2 linked regions of the Mytilus edulis genome follow. The protein of the gene in region 1 purifies or fractionates together with the protein of each later gene. This does not show direct contact. Links are inferred from orthologs where the notes say so. Each region holds a gene or a part of one and is shown on either strand. Other genes may lie near its edges.

The links.
Region 2: the proteins of coatomer subunit beta'-like (region 1) and coatomer subunit delta-like fractionate together in Homo sapiens (co-fractionation; 5 studies listed by BioGRID and IntAct, with this or other methods). This does not show direct contact. The link is inferred for Mytilus edulis from reciprocal best matches to the Homo sapiens genes COPB2 and ARCN1.

What each region holds. Positions count from the first base shown.
Region 1 is NC_092356.1:64,947,746-64,955,480, forward strand, and holds the start of coatomer subunit beta'-like, read left to right. Parts: upstream 1-4,731; 5' UTR 4,732-4,817; coding exon of another isoform or gene 4,818-4,820; intron 4,821-7,430; coding exon of another isoform or gene 7,431-7,530; coding exon 7,531-7,735. Other genes in the region: transmembrane protein 107-like, read right to left, coding at 4,356-4,439. UniProt on the Homo sapiens protein: The coatomer is a cytosolic protein complex that binds to dilysine motifs and reversibly associates with Golgi non-clathrin-coated vesicles, which further mediate biosynthetic protein transport from the ER, via the Golgi up to the trans Golgi network.
Region 2 is NC_092348.1:7,123,598-7,130,429, reverse strand, and holds the start of coatomer subunit delta-like, read right to left. Parts: upstream 3,026-6,832; 5' UTR 2,737-3,025; coding exon 2,734-2,736; intron 1,643-2,733; coding exon 1,603-1,642; intron 809-1,602; coding exon 585-808; intron 144-584; coding exon 1-143. UniProt on the Homo sapiens protein: Component of the coatomer, a cytosolic protein complex that binds to dilysine motifs and reversibly associates with Golgi non-clathrin-coated vesicles, which further mediate biosynthetic protein transport from the ER, via the Golgi up to the trans Golgi network.

The DNA of each region.
Region 1 (7,735 bases):
GACCTGATGAACAATAATACCCCATGTCAGATTTGCTCTAAATGCTTTGGTTTTTGAGTTATAAGCCAAAAACTGCATTTTACCCCTATGTTCTATTTTTAGCTATGTCGGCCATCTTGGTTGGTTGGGCGGGTCACCGGACACATTTTTTTAAATAAGATACCCCAATGATGATTATGGCCAAGTTTGGTTAAATTTAGCCCAGTAGTTTCAGAGGAGAAGATTTTTCTAAAAGATTACTAAGATTTACGAAAAATGGTTAAAAATTGACTATAAAGGGCAATAACTCCTAAAGTGGTCAACTGACCATTTTGGTCATGTTGACTTATTTGTAGATCTCACTTTGCTGAACATTATTGCTGTTTACAGTTTATCTCTATCTATAATAATATTCAAGCTAATAACCAAAAACAGCAAAATTTCCTTAAAATTACCATTTCAGGGGCAGCAACCCAACAACGAAATGTCCGATTCATCCGAAAATTTCAGGGCAGATAGATCTTGACCTGATGAACAATAATACCCCCATGTCAGATTTGCTCTAAATGCTTTGGTTTTTGAGTTATAAGCCAAAAACTGCATTTTACCCCTATGTTCTATTTTTAGCCATGGGGGCCATTTTGGTTGGTTGGCTGGGTCACCGGACACAATTTTTAAACTAGATACCCCAATGATGATTGTGGCCAAGTTTGGTTAAATTTAGCTCAGTAGTTTCAGAGGAGAAGATTTTTGTAAAAGTTAATGCAGGACGACGAAGGACCACGGACGACAACGACGGACACCGGACGCCAAGTGATGAGAAAAGCTCACTTGGCCTTTCGGCCAGGTGAGCTTAAAACAGGTAAATTTTTCGCTAAAATGGGCTATCGAAAATACAGGTGACCGGATTTATCCAGTGCTTAAATGGGCTCTAATGTAGCCGCTCGAATGTCCCCTAGTAGTTTTAATTTTTTCCCTCAAATGTCCTGCGCCCGACCAGCCATCCTATCAATACAGATGTTGTTTCTGATAATTTTAGCAACATACATATGTATTTAGTCCCTTGATCATTAGTATTGTATATTTAAAGCTACAATAAAATTAAATCACTTAGTCTAGTGATAATTTGTACTACTATCTTAAGGGTGACTAAAAGAAAGAAAACTCTTACTTCCAACATTTGTAGATTGGACATAATGTTAATTGATTCAGTGATTTAGAAAATCACTCATTTAAGTTAGTCCTGACTGATTGACATTATACACCTCATAACTATTTATCAGCCTTAACTGGACATCACAAAAGTTCCTATAAAATTTTGACGTCATAATAGAAAATATCTGAAGCCACAATGGAAAAGTGATTGTGGTATGACATCAAAAGTTCAAGCGAGACAGATTCTCCGGTCATGATATGAAAATTAATGTAACCTTATTTTGTGTAACAGTATCAATATTACCAGCTACATGTATACATCCTTGTCAGACTTTGAAGGACTTGGACATGCTTTGCAGTTATTGCATGATTTGACTGGTTTGGCCTACATAAAGATAAACTGATATGGGATCCGGAAATCTAAGTCACAATTTAACTTCTTTTTTTTCCATTAAAAGTTTGATTTCATTTTTTTACACCAGGAATCACAGCAGAAATGAATGTCTCACTATCCTTATAAAACAATAAAATCGAAATTTGAAAAACAAGAATGTGTCCCAAGTACACGGATGCCCCACTCGCATTATCATTTTCCATGTTCAATGGACCGTGAAATTGGGTAAAAAATCAAATTTGGCCTTAAAAGTAAAAAGATCAACCAAAAGGGAACATGTGTACTAAGTTTCAAGTTGATTGGACTTTAACTTCATTGAAAACTACCTTCACCAAAAACTTTAACCTGAAACTCACACTTTTAATTTCTATGTTCATGATCAGTGGACCATGAAAATGGGGTCAAAAGATTAATTTTGTTTTAAAATAAGAAAGATCATATAATAAGGAACATGTGTACTAAGTTTCAAGTTGATTGGACTTTAGCTTCTTCAAAAACTACCTTGACCAAAAACTTTAACCTGAAATGGGACGGACGGACGAACAGACAAACGGACAGACGGACGGACGGAAGGACGCAGAGACCAGAAAACATAATGCGGCTTATGCCCCTCTATTATCGTAGGTGGGGCATGAAAACAATTCTTATAAATCATGTAAATTGGAACTAAGGATTTGTACAAATACTCATTAGAGTGATTAAAATGACTGTAAGGAGGTTGTAAAAAAAAATGAAGAATAGATGACATTGACTTTCAATATTAAATTTATTTTGTCGAAAATACGTTCAAATAAAGAAACTACATTGTACATACATGACATACAATGACATAGAAACTTCAAAAAGTTTGTTACTGTTTGAGGAATATTGAAATTCAAATTTGAACTGTCTGGAAGAAAACAATTTTCATGAAATGACTAAACGTACTACATTGTGGTTGTTCAAATGCTGACTGACTGATTTTTCTGGGGAAAACAATTATTATAAGAAGGTTAATTATCATAATTATATTTGTGGTTAAATATGATCCATTAGTGACCAATCGGATGGTGATAAGCGGATAAGCTGTTACAAATCACAACTTGTAACACCTGTTGTACAAATGTAAATGTTAATTACCGGCTCAGGGCCAGAAACTTGAACACAATTATATTTTTTATACAAAAATATTATTAGACCTTCAAACATGTCATGATTTAAGAGACGAAATTGATTTGAAATCCTTTCAACATTTTGAAAACCATTTTGTGAATGACGAAATGATGGAACACTAGCAAAATCACTGCAGGTTGGACAGATACGAATCCGGGTCCATTCGCGCCCATTCACGTTTGCACCCACTCATGATCGCCCCCTTTCACTTTCGCACACTATATGTTCGCACTGAAAGTCCGTTCGCACATTACATGTTCGCGCCCAATTTTTATTGGTTTTGTGTTTAACAACTTTGTAATCAAGTTTTGGAAAGTGTATTCCTATCAGAATATTTGTTGTCATTGTCTCATTATAAAGTGAGACAGCATTATTTTTTGTGTTGAATAAATCTCATTTGGATAGTGTATTGTTAAAAAAAATAACAATCCTTTCTAAATAATGTTGGAATCTGTCAACGTTTTATTTTGTGCTGAATAACTCTTAATCATGTTTTGGTTAGTGTATCGCTGTAACTTTGTTTCAATCATTGACTTAGGCCATAATAAATAAAAGGTTTGTTTGCCCAAACACTTCCTACCAAGAAAAAAAGCTGCCTACTCAAATTCTTTTATTGTCCTGATTTGAAGAAGTTTTTTTTTTTTATCAAATAGGCATGAAGACTAATTAACATCTGATACTTCAATTTCTTTTTTTGAAAGAAAAAAAAATGCCTACCTACCTACCCACTGTCTCAACCTTTGGGTAGGGTTTGGGCAAACCAAAATATTTTTAAGTCTGGCCTTGTTTCAAAATAAAGTGAAATTCTAACTACGTTTTCTTTTTGTGTGTTGAATAAATTTTATCATTTAAATCAGGACAATAAAAGAATTTGAGTAGGCAGCTTTTTTTCTTGGTAGGTAGTGTTTGGGCAAACAAACCTTTTATTTATTATGGCCTAAGTCAATGATTGAAACAAAGTTACAGCGATACACTAATCATGATAATAGTGTATTGCTATATTTTATTGTTTCATTGTTTCAGATCAAAGGGACCAAGCTGTTAAAAACAATTATCTTTTGTGTTTTTCATTTAAAATCTTCAATGTTTTACTCATACATTTTACTAAGCTAAATACCTATGCAGTTTAAAACAACAATCATGATTTTCTAATTATTCAACTGGAATTTGATCTAAAATTGGGCGTGAACATGTAGAGTGCGAACAGACCTTGGGTGCGAACGTGCGAGGAGCAGACGTGTAGGGTGCGAAAGTGTATTGGGCGCGAACGGACCTGATACACCTTATTGCTAATCCCGTCTGACCCCAGAATCTGTCCCACTTGAACTATTGACGTCATACAACAATCGCTTTTCCATTGTGGCGTCAGATATTTTGTATTATGACATCAAAATTTTACGTGAACCTGTATGATGTCCAGTAAATTGTAATGGCGGGCAAATAGCGATAAGGTGAATTACAAAATAGAGACAAGGTGTATACACCTTATCGCTATTCCCGGCTGACCCGTCCGCTTGAACTTTTGACGTCAACAACAATCACTTTTCCATTGTGGCGTCAGACATTTTGTTTTATGACGTCAAAATTTTACGGGAACCTGTGTGATTTCCAGCAATGGCGGACAAATAGCGATAAGGTGTATTGTAAACAGTATTATTGTGTAAAGTTTACTTACTTTTGACCAAAATAAAACTATGACTATCACAAGATGGGCGACAATTGTGAGAAATCTTGCTGGAACAAGACCACTTATTCTCATTTTGACTATATCTGAAGTATATGTATAATTTCCTTGTAATTTGTATTAAGTTGGAACCAAGAATTTACAAATTACGACAGTATACTTCGAATTCTTGCCAAGTGTTGTTTTAACTCCTTAAATATGCGTAACCATTCAGTTTTGCTTTTACAATAAAATGGTTATGTCTTTGATGACAACTTGCTATTCACGATGTACACAATGCATAAGTATAAAAATATTGGTATGTCTAAGCTTGTTTGGCGGCCATTTTCAAACAAATCATGTTTAACTTCCGAGTCCGGTCACGCTTGCGCATTCACTGTGGACACGTCTCTTCATCCAGGTTGAAACTGAACCGGCGAAACTTATTTGTTTACAAACTTATAACCCAAGAGAATGGTAACGAATAACTATTTTAGAATTTTATAACGCATGAGCTTCTCGATATGTAGTAGCTGTCAGGTTTAGGGGCGAAATATAGTAAAGATCAACGTTTAATGTGAAAAGGGGGGATATGGACCATTGTTGACACATTTTTTAACATTACATATTTTGTAGGTTACCGAAAATTATTGCAATTAGACATTAAGTGTAAAGCAGAACGACACTAATTTGATAGTCATTTATGAAATGTGGTCATAATCATAATGCATTATTGGTTGTAAGCTAATCATTTTTGTACCACTGGGGCACTGCCATACACCTTATCGCTAATCCTGGCTGACCCGGCCGCTTGAACTTTTGACGCATAGAACAATCACTTTTCCATTGTGGCGTCAGATATATTGTTTTATGACATCAAAATTTTACGGGAACCTGTGTGATATCCAGTAATGGCAGACAAATAGCGATAAGGTGTATTTCGTACCCTATGCCTATGGGCCAAAGCATCTATCAATTTGTCCCTCATGAACTAAATACATGTTAACTATTTTGTATCATTTACCAACAGTCTTGGTAAATGATAGTAATATTTAATAAATATCAAATCTGTTTGTTTTTATACACCCGTTTACTGGACGTATTATGGTATACTGTTGTCTGTCCTTCCGTCGTCAATTTGTTGGACAATAACTCAAAAACGCTTGAATGTTATTAATTTAATCATGATTGAGTAATTGTACAATAAGTGCATGTGGAGTACATACATCAATGAAATAGTACAGGCCTCTACAATAACTTTTTTTTCAACTTGTCCAGTCATGCCAGTAGGACAAGTACATACCAAAACTTACTTGTCCCAATGAAATTGTTACTTGTCCAAATTTTTTTAATAAAAAATAACCTTTTTACATTTTAAGTTGATTAAAGGAACAAAACGAATTTAAACAATAGAACAGAATTTGATGTATTTCTTTTGAAATACTTTTCAAAAATATGAGTCAAGTACAACTGAATCTAGTCATGTCACAGGACTTAGGTTCTAGTTTTCATCAATGCCAGCTGTCTCATCAGACTCTAAACATGAGGCACCATCTGATAGGCCTGTACACTCATTGGATTTGTATCCTGGTTTTTTTTTTAAGTTGAAAAAAGTTTATTCAAATGCAATCAATAAAAAGAAGAAGATAAGGTCTGATTGCCAATGAGACAACTCTCTTCAAGAGACCAAAATGACACAGAAATTAACAACTAAAGGTCACCATTTTGCAAGTATTGTTTTTTTTTTACCTATGATCAAATATGATTTTGTGAATTTTATGAAATTATGGTTAATACAAAAAATTATGGAAAATAAAAAAAAATATTTTTGTGAAAAAATTACCTGTATGGTATTTATTATAAAGAACAGAATAAGGAAAGAAAATGAGGAACTGATTTGTCTTGGTCCCGAAATGTCTCCTGCCTTGCCAAAGTGTCTATCAATCATTTCCACTAAATTTGTCTCCTACGGTGCCAAACTGTCTATTAAACTTTGAGCTAAACCTGTCGAAGTGAGAACTGTCCTGTAAAGTTACCTAGTCTACAAAACCCAGCATTGATTATTCGGATCAGTAAGGCTGGTTTCCGAGAATAGTATAATGTACCAGTGTTCTCCCCAGATATTTCATTTAGCATCCTGGTAAATAGGGGAAATTAAAATACCATCTTGTTTCTGAAATTTATAGCATCACATCCATAACATAATCTATAAGAAAACCAATTCAAATAGCATCACATTTAAGATTATAGCATCACATTACCATGATGCTAAAAGGCCCTGGGGAGAACACTGAGTACCTTTCACCTGTTAAAAGGTACCTGACAAAGGACAAGTTAAAAATTATCGATTGCAAGTAAACATGCTAAAAAAAAGGTTTTGCATTTCAATAAACAGAATACAGAAACATGTCAAACTAATTTTTGTTTTTTGTTTATTATTATACTTTGTTCATCAAAGTTGGATGAAATTTATTTTCTGCAGAATAATTGTACTTGTTCCAACGGACAAGCTTGATACAGCTTTTACTTGTCCGACCTTTTTTCCCTCTGGTATCGGACAAGCGTTATTGTCGAGGCCTATAGTATCCAAACCTTCTAAAATGATAAACAATAAAACATACAAAACTTCCATGAGGTGAAAAATGGTAAACATACAAACCTAACATGATGAGATAAGAAATGGTATACATTGTACATATAAGTTGTCCATGAGGTACGAAACCATGGATATGGGATATAAAAATCCAATCTCTGTCACCCACTTTTCCTATGTTGATAATATTAAAAACCAGAAATTTTAATAATATATTTCTAATTAACAATGGTCTTCTACATGTACATGTATGTATCTTTCTTATGTCATGTTATTAAGTTTGTGCATGCTTCTTCTTCTTGTTATGGAAAAAGTACTCTTGTATCTGGAGAACTTCTGTGATGGGTTAAAAGGAACTACCAAACAACAGTTGAAAGGATATATAGTATTAAAATAATATGAAATCTAGTATTTACAGCTCTACACTGTTCATTCTTACATATACTTACTTAAACATGATCAACATCTAATATCTAATGAATTATGTATTGCAGCCGTTACGTTTGAATATAAAGCGGGTTTTGACAGCCCGATCAGATCGTGTTAAAAGCATGGGTCTGCACCCAACTGAACCATGGATGATGGCTAGTTTGTATGATGGCAAGGTGGTCATTTGGAATTTTGAATCTCAGGTATATAACTATTGACTTTTATTATTCTTTTCAGCCGCTACGTTTGGATATAAAGCGGAAGCTGTCAGCTAGGTCTGATCGTGTCAAATCTGTGGACTTGCACCCTACAGAGCCATGGATGTTAGCCAGTTTATACAATGGAAATGTACACATTTGGAATTTTGAAT
Region 2 (6,832 bases), on another chromosome or scaffold:
TCCATTTCAGTGAATGTTCTGATTTGAGCAAGATTTACATTTTCTCTATAACCTAGAGCTACGATTTCATCAAAAGCAAAGATAAGAGAAAATGCCTGATCTCCAATCTCAGCCTCCTCCATATTTCTGCAGTATTCTGGTATCTGAAGAAAATAAAAAAATAAAAATAGATATTTGTTATGCATTTAGTTAACTTTTTAACGCATGTCAAGTTGTTAACAAATATTCAATTCTGCTATTTATCTAGATCTTTGCAATGCCATCAAAAATGCTCCTTAAAATAATAAGGTGTAATCCAAGCAAATCTATCACATGAAAAGTATTATCCCCCCCCCCCCCCCACACACAACATCTTTTTGTGTGAGTGATACTTATTGAAAGAAGTTTTTTTCTTTATTAAGTTACTTGCCCTGCCAAACGACACTTTATTAAGATATTCTAGTATGTTGATAGCTATTTATAGAACATAAAGTTTTCTAATTTACCACATGTTCAAACAGACAAATGTTCCAAGATCTTCAGGAACATGTATGTTGTTAGCGATTGTTGTTATTGATAGATCATAAAGTTTTTTTCAAACTTACCACACGTGCAAACAGACGTAATGTTTCCAGATCTTCTAGTATGTTGCTAGCTTTTGTTGTTATCAATAGAACATAAAGTTTTTCTAGAGGCTGATACACATATCTCACACTTTCTGTTTCAACAAAAGTATGTTGTTTTCCTGAACTCATCAACTTAGGAAAAGCTGCAAGCAAGCCTTCTATTCTTGACCTCGTCATTTCCACAAATTGACGGGAAATTAACGCTGAAAAAGTCTTATAAGTATTAATTTCATTCTTCATTTTGTAATTACATCAGGGTGTACAGCACATTATTTATCAAAGAGACGAAGCATTAAATTCTTACATGTATTACAATAACGATGTCAGGCTACAATCTTGAAAATTCATTTAAATTATGTAATTGTATGAAACTTGTATGAGATGTAATAATATATATTATATAAATGTAGTTAATCAATTAATTTAATAATTAAAATGATAGCACTTACCTTTTACCTTTTTTTTTATAATTTAAATGATAGTAAAATTCAATAAAAACAAGTATTAAATTTCTCAGTTTAAAAGTTTGGTTGGTAATTGGGAGGGCAGTTCGTGTCAGTGTTCCTCCTGCAGATCTCAATGAGCTGTAGATCAGTTTATTTATTTATCATGTATACTCTGGCTTTTAAATTATTTGGCATAATTTTTTTATTTGTGTTCTTAATGCTTGAATTACTTTTAGTGCTTTATAATTGCTATTGCATGAATGTTAGTTTATCTGCATTTTATGTTTGCTTATATGCTTTAATTGTGCTAATTAATTGTTGTGCTTGATAACATTATTTATTTTGCATGTTTTATGTGTTTTATGTATTGTGCTTGTCTTATATGTATGTCGGATAAAAGCTCTACAGAGCTTATGTTGTATTGTTATATGTATAACCGACTTTAAATAAATCTTTTATGCTTTATGCTTTATCTCAATTCTCTTGTAAAATATACAGATATAAACATTTTGGTGTCTTAATTAATTAAGAATTATAAAAAATAAACCAACCTTTTCCAGACTTGTTACATACAGCTGCAGCAAGCAGCACCTAGATAAAAGAAAGAAAAATATAGTTGATTGTCCAATAAATTCATGGGTATTCTTACATTCTTAAGGTTTATGAACCCTTCTGTGTCCTGAGAATTACGAAATTTTCAAACTGCAATAGTTTCAATAGTATCAAAACAGCAAAGATAATTATTAATAGAGATATGCAATTTGTACATATACCAAGGGGAAACTTGTGCAAAGCCTTATCATTTTAAGTTTAGTTGCATTTAGTAGAAAAAGAGGATTTGGTGAAAATAAAACCAAGATTTTTGTAGAAAATCCACAGACTTCAATACAGAGATTAATGTAATAAAATTTTGACCATAGATTACTCACTTGTTTTTCTATGATGTCCTAAACAACCTTTAAATTCCAAAACACCTTGTGTTGAGTCACTAAAGTCAAGTGCACCGTAGAAGGTGTACTTGATATGGTGGATATCTATATTTGTTTTAACCAATATCTAACCTATAAACTTGTTTTAAGGAAATTCTTGATAGCACTGCATGCAATAATTCTCTATCTATCAACCATAGAATTACCAAACATGAGAGTACAAAGGGAAAGGCTGTGCGTTTTCTATAAAATTTCCATATGTGTGGCATTAAATCAACACAAGGGTACATAATCCTTAAGCCTAAGGAATGACACTAATGAATATGATTGGTACAGATCATACAAAATTGACAAAGGTATACAATAGTGGTGCATTCTTTTGTTTACTACTACTAGTTTTTATTCTTCCTTTATAGTTACATGTCCAACAGTACATGTATCTTATGACGTTATGTCCTTCATTGGCTTCAATTTTGAAAACTTTTTGATATCCCAGTATTTTTTACATGTTTTACGAATCTGTGCTCATTCCATATTGCTAGTGATAGAATCCAATTATAGATACATTACGTTATGCAATATGTTTACAGTATAATAAAGCAAAAATGAGGTTCGGTTTGTTGTTGTGGAGAAAAAATATGAAGGATGCCGGTAAGTGGTTTGGGTTTGATCAGGCTCTAGCGAGTAAAATATTCATTGTTGAGAGCAATAAGAATGTCTGACAATGTTATAGAAACTTAGTGAATGTCCTACCATGTTGAACGAAAGCTGTTTTGAATACTAGTGTTGACAAATATTGAAGTAATGAACGTATCTGCTGACGGTTTTTCGGCCACGTCAATTTCAAGTTGTAACCTTGCGCTTTATCCCAAAAATTGTAGTTTCTGAACAAATAATAATGGATAAGATTTTGCAATGAGTTCTATGTTTGAAATCTTACAACGTTAAATCTTAGTTTATAAAGCACAAAATTGTTATAAAATTAGGTGTTAAATAGAGGATTATATTTTTAAAAGAAAATCGCCGGATTCAGATGCGCAGGTATAGCCTAATACAACATAAAAATGTCTAGGAAATAATCAACAACAACGGACCAATGAGATGGAAGTAATACAACTCAACTCGCTCCACTTTTGCACCAACTCGCCCCACTTTCAAAATGAGGTTAAATCCCGTTAAATTTACTTCTGCTTACTCACTGCATTTATCAAAATGTGTAAAATCCATATAATAACATGATTAATGTCTGCCAACTCAGCCTCACTTTTATGAAAACTTATCTGTTGTATACCATATTTGTGTATCTATGTTCTTGTTTCTAGTGTTGACATTTTATCTAGTACTTCTTTTTGTGTAATCAAAGATTTGTATAGTAAGAACGATACAAATCATTGGTGTAATCATGACAGTGTTTGTCATAATTGATTTATTGTGCAAAACTTTCATCTGAGAAAAAAATGTGTAAAAATACATGATGATATTTTATCATGATGATTCTTGACTTGTAAATATGTAAAACAGTGATAATATGAGGGTTTGGATGGGGTTAAATGATTAAAGAATAATTCCCTTAAAAAATGAAGATTAGAGAATAACGGGCATAAAAAATGAAGATTAGAGAAAAAAGGGGTTAATTTTATGAAGATTAGAGAAAAAAGGGATTAATTTTTTAATGATTAGAGAAAAAAGGGGTGAAAATTAAAGGTTTACAGAATAACAGACCCCCCCTTTCCAGACCCTATATTTACCAGGAAAAAAATCATAAACAGTTCCTATAGTCAATAACATTGTACGTTCCAGAAATGCTGATACTTACTCATGTCTGCTCTCTTCCAACCTAAAGAGTTTAAGGTAGATAAGGTGTATCCTCCATCTTGGAATTTGAAATACCAGGAATCAAGGTCTAGATCTTTGATAAAATGTGCAAATTTTGAGAGTAGTAGGTAATTCATGTGTAAGAATGTTCATTATGATACAGAAAAATACCATGTTTTAATCATCTTTATGGTTGTATTTTACAAAAACACGAATACTTTTGTTTGATTCATTTTTTTCCCCAACTTTGCCAAATAAGGGAAGGCAACTCAAATGCAAGGGCAGATAATTCAAATAATGTTACTTTTACAATAGACTGTGTTAGGAATTTACCCATTTTAGTATGTAGCAAAAAAATGAGTCCGGTGACCGCCTGTTTTTTCTTTTTCTTATCTGAAAGCATAATATTGGAGCTATGTTCTCATATTTTATCTCAAAATTATATGGTGTAGTTTTGGTTTTATGGCGGAAAATTGGGTTTTCCATCATAATCTATACAAAATCTGCCAATTTTGCACAACCTGTAGTATGAAAATAAGTGCCGTGACCCATTATTTTTATGAAGGTTTTTAAACAAGCAGAATATAAACTACATTTTGGCAAATTATCAAAAAAAATCTATCTATAATACTAAAATTACGAGGTCCAATTTGTCAGCCTTCATCACGTAAAAACGACGAATCACAGAATTCAACTTTATATATAACTTATATTGTACAAAGGTGTAGATTAAAAATTACACCACTCCAGGCCCTTTTGTTTTCCACGTAATTAATATTGCCAATAATTAAGAAGTTCCGGGTCGAGTCCGCTACCGATATCAATAGTATATTCACCTGTTACCTATTACCTTATCTGTACGTTCCGCATTTGACAGGCGCACCACCAAACGTTGTATTCAGGATTAATATGCTATATACACGGGTCATAACCACAGGGTTGACACTACTAAATTGTCAAATTGTTACCTATTGTAGTATTTTAATCAGTAAGACTTTTTAAGATAACAATACGAATACTAAAAATCTGGACTAAAAATAAGGCGTATAGGTACAGTTTTCAATTTGTTAGTGGGCATGACGTAAAACAGCGAAGCAAAGAATTCAACCTTTATTTATAACTTATATAGGACAATGCTATTGATTAAAGAATACTTCATTCCAGGACCTTTTGTTTTCCAAATAATTAATATTATTGTTTCAGTTCGACGGGTTCAAACAGAAAGACTTGAAAGCAGAGAAAAACTGCATGTGTATCTTATAATCGGTATGACTTTATCAGATGACAATACTAATACTAAAATAAGGCTTGCACATAGTTATATACTTTAATTCAGTCACGGACCCGTGATATCACGGGTGTGTTCTAGTGGATTATAATTTAGACACTCCATCTACCTTACAATAACCGAGATGCATTTCTACATTATTCATAAATATTCATTTAATTCATAATTGGGGCAACTAGGTAGGCCTCAATTCTGTACAGTTTAATTGTTTTATTCGTACGGTGGGTCGAGTTGGCTTCATTAAAAGTGGTATGGGAGTCTAAATTAAAAATGATAGAATTTGTTCATACTTTGTCAAAACGTAGTGTCTATTGATATATGTTCAAAAATCATGCCAAGAAATTGCCTCCGTTGAAATTCTGCAAACACTCCATAGGGCAAATTACATGGATGATTAATATTGACCATTTGGTATATAGCTGTGTTCTAAGCAACACGTACATGAAGGTCATAAATTAATTTCTTCAATGAAATCAAATCTTTAGCTACTAATGACTGCCGTAGGGGGTCGACCGGAATTTTTAGCGAGGATTTCTTGGCATGGAGTAACAGATAGGTTAGAATTCATAGAACAGAAAAGGGGCAGTGGCAAATATTTCATGTATATTTTGAACACGGAGAGAATTTACCTGCACCTTTTGCCAAAAAAATCCTTTCTTTTTCTTATTTGTGCCTTCCGACTTTATGTTTTGAATTGTAGTTTCACTTTCCATATTCGGTATTTATTCAAATGTAAGCTCCACATGGTAAAAATCACGTGATGCAGAAATATTATATCTTGGAGTTAGACTATTTCTTTCTTTTCGGGCGGAGACTCCAAGCAAACAACATGCATGTGTATAACGGCACTGTAGATTTTCGTATTAAATAAAGAAAGTTGCCGGTCCGGTACATGAATAGATTGGTTAGAAAGCAAGGTTTTAATTTTAATTAGATTCGAAAGCTTAATTCGAGGGTTGAAAATACAGAGCACAAATAAAAGGGGGGGGGGGGGGGGGGGTCCACAGGGAATATTTGTATCTTATGAACTCTATATTTGAAAGGGTTATTTTTTTTATGTAATTAAAAAAGAGAAAAACAAATATATAACAAATTGTGATTGGTCTTTCTTCCTTTCTCCCGATAACAAAAATGATAGATCACCGCACATTTTCTCAAGCTACAGGTTATGACAAAATGACACCTTTTGTATGGATTATACAGAATAAATCATCATTATGTGATTTGAAGCTAAACTAAATGTTAGCATTGTGAAATAAAATTCGAGAAGATATCTTTTAGAAAATGCTTTTAGAATATCAAAAGAAAAGATAGGGTCACCGTGTGTTTTTTTCCCGGCTAGAATTCAAAATAGCAAAATTCCATGTAGATTCCATCCGAAAAAGCACTATTTCAGAGTTATCTCCCCTTAAAATGCCAATTTAAAAAAAAAAAAACTAATCAAACTGAATTCATTTATACTTGTAAAAATATTAAAATTTATAAGTTATAAGCTTATAAATTTGTTCTTTGAAATGCAAATTCATATTTGTTAACTGCATTCCTGCATCAAATTTTGCTAACTTGATTGAAAATCTAGACCTTAGATTCTCTGTTTTTTTACAATCCAAGATAGCGAAAGACACCCATACCACCTTAAATCAATGGAATACAACTCCTTTTCATAAGTGGGTCGAGTTGGCAACAGGATTGCATCATGTTTCATACGTGCAGGAACAGTCTATGCTAACTAAGTATAAACTGTCCCTG